2 linked regions of the Drosophila melanogaster genome follow. The protein of the gene in region 2 interacts with the protein of the main gene of each other region in a biochemical or structural test. Each region holds a gene or a part of one and is shown on either strand. Other genes may lie near its edges.

What was found. Proteins that work in one complex are often made in the same cells at the same time.
Region 1: of the proteins of aPKC (region 2) and yrt, one has a biochemical effect on the other in vitro, tested with the Drosophila melanogaster proteins (one study listed by BioGRID).

Annotation. Positions count from the first base shown.
Region 1 is NT_033777.3:13,433,200-13,436,955, forward strand, and holds the start of yrt (yurt), read right to left. Parts: upstream 1,786-3,756; 5' UTR 1,074-1,785; coding exon 849-1,073; intron 256-848; coding exon 108-255; intron 43-107; coding exon 1-42.
Region 2 is NT_033778.4:14,956,828-14,960,583, forward strand, and holds the start of aPKC (atypical protein kinase C), read right to left. Parts: upstream 1,630-3,756; 5' UTR 1,417-1,629; intron 1-1,416. UniProt on the Drosophila melanogaster protein: Serine/threonine protein kinase which is required for apico-basal cell polarity in the germ line as well as in epithelial and neural precursor cells, for epithelial planar cell polarity and for cell proliferation.

The DNA of each region.
Region 1 (3,756 bases), on a different chromosome or scaffold from region 2:
AGTAAAACTTCACCTTCAGCCGGAACGTGTAGGGCGGCCCAACTGCGGGAAAGGTAAAATAATTAGTATTGTTTGGCCCACGTAATTGGTTTCACACATTAACTCACTTTTGACCTGCTTCTTGATGGGCTTGGTGGGATCTAGCCAGTGCTTGACGTGATTGGCATCCATGAACTGCAGCCCAAAGTAATCCTTCTCGATGATGTCCAGTGCGTAGAATACCTGTTCGTACAAAAAGCTGCCCAATGCCTTTTTCTGCAATCGCAAACAGCAAAGTGGAAAATTAATGCTTCCGACGGGGGGCAGGTGTAAATCAATGCGACCCTGAACTAATCACGTTCGCTTAGCGGGTTAAATTATGTGCTGATCAGCAGCAATTTGCTTATTTTTATCACACGGACTGAGGCAATGCAAGCTGCGGTAGTGTCTTCATTAGGGTGGACCAATAAATGAAATGGTTAAAACGTTTGCTACACAATTGTTTTGGGCTGTTTTGAGAATTCAATACTTCTCTTAGCAGAGTGCATTTAATGGACAATAAATACCCTGACTTACTTCTTAATATAAATAATATTTCTGAGCTCAAATTTAAAATTCGTATAAAGGATAGAGCTAAAGATGATTCGTAAAATTTAAGACATTATTTATTTAGTACGTAATACTGAGCCGCCCTACCAACCACTTTAGCTCTATCTTTATCTCTACCTTGACGGTATTCTCTTATAAGATCCAATCGCTTGTTTGTTTGCCTTCCGAAAATTACTGCCAACGGCAGCAGTTTAAAGGGTGAAAGCCAAAAAATCGAAAATGGGCCAAATGTAATTCGATGTGGGCCCTCCTGTACTCACCGATAATTCGATGGAAAGGTCAGTGTTGTCCAGCAGAATGACGCGGCAGTCGATTTTGTTCTTGTTGACCACGATGCGTTGTGGCTTTATTTGTGAGCTGCCGCCGGAGGTGATGGCACCACCACCCCCAGCCACGCCCACCGCGGAACTAGTTGCCCCGCCGCCCTCTCTCGAATTATCCACATAGTTGTTGCGCACCTTGCGACGGCTTAGAAAACGGAGCATTTTTCTGGATTTTGTTTGGTTTTAAACGTGTGTATGTATGTATTATATATTGCGGGTGGTCGTTATTGTTGTTTTCTATGTGTTGTTTTTATGGAATTGTTGCCAAGGCAGCCGAATGCACCGATAATTCACCTGTGTGCTCACCTCGGCTGGGGAAAAAAGACAGCGCAGACATCAAAAAACCCCTCACACGCACACACGCGCAGCCAACTTGTTCTGGCCAACACACACGTACACTGACTAACCAACACACTTGCAAGCGATAGACGCCCCCGTTTTACTTAAGTTTTCCTTTTAGTTTTTTGTTTTTTTCTTCACTTTTGGTTCGGGGAGCTGAGCTAAAGTTGCTGGCCAAAGTGGGCGCTCCTTTCGGGCGGTTTCTTTACTACGGGTTTTGGCTCGTCGCACCCCCTCCCCCGCGAAAAAATCACTGTTAGCCTGGTTTTTGGTTGGCGAAAAAGAGGAGAGAGAAAAAACAGGCCAGCCAAACACGTTAGTTCCCGCTTCGCGAGGCGACTTTCCGGGTATTCAATCACTTGTTTTCACACTTTATTTTGTTGGCGGTGCTGCATCGTCCGGTCACTATTATGTTTTGTTATTATTTTGGGCTATTTAAGTGCACTTTCGGAATTTTTTTAGGAGTAGAATGTAAGAATGGCCGCAGTAGTTGTTGATCTTATGCGAGCAGTGTGACCAGATGTGGTCACGACAAATATACCAAGTACACAACAAATTGTACATGTCGGTTTTCGGTATTTCTGTGTGACCGTCGAATTCAAATCAGGTGCAGAGCCACGATATTCGTTGAGCTAAGACACGAACCTCCCCGCTTGGCTAGAAAACAGCTAATTCGTCCATTTCAATTTTACTTTCTTAATTTTCCACTTGGTTTTTCATGTAACCTGTATTTTGATAGAAAATATTATAAAAGATCTTACAACAAATGATAATTTCCAAAAATTAAACAAATGGAAGTAAAGATTGATTTCAACAAATTTTCTATACGTTGTGCAGAAAATTCTAATTAATTAAATTTATCCAAACTCATCAAGTATTTTGCTACAGTGTGATTCTTTCAATTCAAAATTGTTCAACGTTATATTTATTAGCTAATACACATGGGATAATTAAATAAATCAGAAGAAGAAAGCACGAATATAAATCGAAATTATGTAGACACAGTAAAAAACAATTCCAGCCATATTTTGCATCAAAAGAGAAGCTACAGACTTGATCATAATATTTTGACTTTTGCCTGTGGACAAGAATCGCACAAAACTTGTTGGCATTTGCGGTCGCGCAATTCTTTAAGTTTAGTACAAGCAACTAAACTAGAAAGAAGTGCACAATAACTGTAAAATAGGAAACACAAGTGGGTTCCGTAGTTGCAGCCGGCATTTGCAAAATCCTTTTTATGGGCAATTTATTCCTTTATTTGTTAGTGGATTTAAGGACGTAACAGTGTCCACTCCCGCACATCCCAACTTCCCTAACTTCCCCAACTTCCGCACCCATTTTCCTCCGATTCACCCTCGATCCCCATTGGTAGTCGTATTTCGAGTTTAAAGGTAAATGGGAGATTTATCGCCGGCGATTTCCGGTCTACATATATGTGTGTGTGTGTGTGCGAGTGTGTGTGTGTAGAGTTGGCGGTGGGTGGGTGTTTTAACATCTTGGCTGCGGGCCCTGTTTATATCGGGGTTTTAGTGGGCCCTCGAGAGGTTCGGCTTTTGGGCCGAGGGCTTTACAACATTTTGCGAGAACTTGAAGCCATTGGGCGCCAATTGCATGATTCATTTTCGCTTATTGGCCATTAATTCTCAATTCGCCCGATTGAGGACGATATATGTAGGTACATATATGTATGTATGCGCATTTACATTTTTATCGAACGCATTAGATATCCATATATGCTGTAATTACACAATTGGCCGTTATAACAAGGCGGATGATTAATTACTGACTAATACCTGAAACCCGATCTGTGGTCGGGCATCGATGGAATCGGAATCGCCCAGCAGCCCCGTATCGCCCATCCATCCATCCATTCATCCATCTATTTAATAACTAGGCAGGCGACGATGCAGGTCTTTAGCCATGGCCAATGTCTTAGGTGCCAGCTGCGGCAACTTGAGCAGCCAGTTCCGTAATTATGACAGGCGGCCAAAGGCCCCGGACCCCCGGCTTCAGTTCTCTGTCCATGGCATCCAGATCCCAGATCCCATATGCCAGATCCCCAGATTCAGGTCCCGTCCCGGCTCGATTTTCTCGGCCGCAGGGGTGTGGCAACAATTAACAAATGGCTTGCGTTGCCATTGCCATTGACCAAAATAGACATGTTTGCAAAGGGTTACATTCATATGTACATATACGCAGCCAAAACGCACAATGCACTCGAACAAATATATCCGAAGGTGCCAACAAATTTTCAAAAACAATTAAATAGGTATTATTAAAATGTTAAGAGTAATCCTAAGAATTAGTATAGTTATAACTGATAAATTCTCCTTAATGTTCAAGAAAATATATATTCTTTTTGTAGATATATCATAAATAAACGAAGTGTTAAATGAAATAATTCGATAAATTGAAAATACTCAAACGGACCTGTTGAAAAGAACAATAATGGGAAAATTGTAGTTTAAATGTCCATATGCTAATTATCTTCTGTTTACTATTAATT
Region 2 (3,756 bases):
CTAGCAAGCGAACTGGGTACCGAATCTGCCAGAGGCTGCATAGGCAAACCTAAAATAAAAGAAAAGGAACACAGACCAAAAACAGAACCCCAGGGTACCCAAAAAAGCAGTGGAAATTTGCTGATTTAACTTTGGCAAAAGGAGACGCACACACACCTGGTTCGAGTGAAAGCCTTCGGGCCAAAAAGAAACGAACAAGTTTAAATGGCAGGGCGACAGCTTGGCCAGCAAAACGCTTTCCGCAAAGAATGAATAAAAAGAAATTGTTTCGCCCTGCAGCTTCTTACTAGCCCACTGACTCATATTATATACATATGTATATGTACATAAATATATATAGTATATGTGCATATATGCCTTACATATATGTATGTATGCATACGAAATGGATCCATCTCGTCTATATAGTATAGTCGGTTTGGGCCAAGTTTGGGCAACCAGACGGTCGCCGAGGTGCAAGAAGCGCTTGATGAAGTGCAAATGCCTGAGGTCAAGTTTAGGGTGGGGATTCTCGCACACCATCACACACTCGCACACACACACACACACTGCCTCATTTTGCGTCATATGTGTTTGCAAGTGTGTGTGAGTGTGCGAGTGTGTGTGGTTTTGTTTGCCAGTGTCTGGCGCACAGCAGCCAAAAAATTTGGGAAAAAAGTGAACAGCGTGATGCAGAAAAAGTGTAAGGGAACCCACAAAAATGGAAATCAATTCTTTGATTTTTTTATCGTGGTTGCTCCCCTTTGTCTAAGTGCAAAATGATAGAGGCATAGGAAATGGTATGTTTTTAAAGCGTTCTAGAACTTTAATTGTATTGCACTGAGGTATTTAAAATATAAAAGAAAAATGCTTAGTGTGTGGGATTTCACCTGCGTTTTTGTCTGCGTTTTGTTTTTTACGTTTTTATACTTTAAGAAAGTGAATAAAAGCAAGGATTTTATTAATAGAAACTAAAAAACCATATTTATATTCAATTTTTTTTTTAACAAGAATGAATTATTATTATTAATACTTTATAAAGGGGTAAATTATAATCTTTCAAAATATATTGATTTTGCGAGATACGGTCATAAATTCCATCACATCTCTGGGGTAACTCTTTCATAAAGTTTTTACTTCATTAGCAGCACTAAAAAACGTTCATTAAAGAAACATTCACAAAATTATGTTAATCATTCCACGTCCATTGCCTTTCCACCTCCCCATTTTCCGACCCCTTCTCTCAGCGGAAAATTGTATGGCAACTAATCAGAAATGTACGACAACTTCGGCAGAACAGTCAAAAAATATTGCACAGGGCCAATTGATTTTTTCCGCAAGATTTTCGTGACTTGCCGAAGAGCGAGTGGAAATGTTTAAGAAAATAATTATATGGAATTATGTTATTCACTGATTTGTACTCCTTTTCCGACATACAACTTCGATTTTTCCGCTTTCTTTTGTTAATTCACAGCGCAGAAACTCGATTTGCCGTTTAGCTGTGCAAAATCTTGTATATTTGTATACATATATATGTATATGTATATATATATCTATAATTATGTATTTGTTTGTAAGGCCCGGGGAGTTATATCTTCGAATCGAAATCCGCACGGCACTTCCACACAGGCGAGCGGCCAACGCGCGAGTGAAATGCCGATGCAGAGAAGTATGCTAGGGAAATTTTTCGGGGAGAATGTAGCGGAAAGCCATGGAGAAAGCTATTGAGAGCGAGTCTCGGCGAATGGAAAAAGTAAAGAGCAAGAGCGAAAAAAGAAACTAGATAATTTGAGAAAAAATGTTTTGTTCTTTTAGTAGTTTCTTAGTAGACGTTTTTAATGAATGACTATAAAAAAATTATTATTAAAAAAAATATTTTATAACAATTCATTTTAGGTAAGCTATTTTGCTATGACTGTCTCGAAAATGAAGAAATGAAAAATATAATTTTTAAAAACATTTTTTATTCCAACACGTAAACAGAGTAAGAGTAAAGTAAGAATTCTATAATCTGAAATTACAATTCCGGATCCGTTTCGATGGATGAAGGTGATCCAAATGATCCGGAACTGAGTGGGGCAGATGTTACTAAAATTCAGTCCTCGTCCAAGGATTGGAAAAAGAAAATTTCCCTTCCCCGCTCTTTCTAGCTCCAAACAGCCTGTCGTGGCCTTGTGAATATACTTCACTTTTGGAGAGAGAGCGAAAATAAAAGCCGCAGACCGGCGCTTTAGCATTGCCATCTTAGATTCAATGGATGGCAATACCTTTCTCTTTGGCTCAGCTGTTTTTTGTGGCATCTGGGGAAATGCTCTCTCGCTCTCTCTCTCTCTCTGTCCTTCCATCTATTCTCTGTTGGCCATCGCTGTCTCGCTCTTGGGTAATGGCATCTTGTGTATCGACCTTATGAGCTGCAAAAAAAGTTCTTCGGACCTGGACAAAAGTTTTTCATGTACATATGCGTATGTGTGTGAGTGTGTGCCGGACAGCGTTGCCATATTGCAGGCGCATAAATTATACCGTTAGCTTACAGATTCTAACTTTTTGTATTGCTTTGTTTTTGGGAGAGCTGCAGAGGTTTTTGCTGGGCGGAGATGAAGCCGGAAGGTGAAGCGAAGTTCTACGGAAACACACTTTCCAACATAAGAAAAAATTAAAAAAAAAAAACGAAACCAAAAAACAAGAGAAGCAACAACAGAGAAGTCAAAACACGGGCTTGTATAAATGCAAAACACACTCACCAACAGCCATTTACTAATCAACACAACAACAATAAGCACACAAACAGAAAACATGTGCGGCATACAAACACACAGACAGGACATCCTAACATATGCAGGAGTGCGTGTAACGGTAACGTAATACCTTGACAATGTCCCTCTCCCGTACGCACACACACACAGTCGCAGGAAAACAGACGCACACAGAATACTTTTAATACATTTTAAGCCGCATTTTTTCACACGTGGCCACATAACACAAGAATAAAAACAAGAAAGAATGAGACTGTCAAGTGTTGCGACAGAAAAGCTACCCACTACCAGGCAATTGAATATTTAAGTAGCATAATTTTTGGGATATGTCCTGAAAAATAGATGAATAAAGAACTTGGAGTACGCTTGTTTTTAACGAATACAGCATACCCCTTGAAAAGTACCGGGTATGCAACAACAACAACCAACATGTTGTCCTTACACACTGTTCTTTTTTGTCATTCGGAGATATGTATGTACATATGTGAAGATGTGGACTGGCCACAAAATATCAGGAAGCCTGCTCCCCAGAACAAAAACAAAGCCGCATAAAAAGGGTAGCGGAAACTGTAACACCCTCTCCATCAAAACCCCACACCAGCCACGAACTTTGTTTAGTGCGACTGGCAGTTATCATATCTGCTGGGCCGTTAGTTGGCTTTTTTCTTGTTTTACATATCGGTGTTCGGAAAAACAGAATGACCACAGGTATGAAATGGTTAAGGATATATGGATAACTCGGAAAAATTTGAATAAGAACTACACTTTGCAAGGGATATTAATACTCAATAAAATTAAATGGTAAAAACAATTTTGGGTACTAAGTATCAGTTTAAGTATCTTACCCAATAAAACTAAAATGTCCTACATTCGTAGCCAAGAAGAGTGTATTCCTTGTTTATTATGCTTTAACCTCAGGCCCTCGTTTTTTTAGTAATTTACTGTATAAAAGGGTTTTGTGTTTGTCATTCGCCAAACGAGTGTGGTAAGTGAAACCTTTTTGTTGTTGCGGCAGGCATAATTA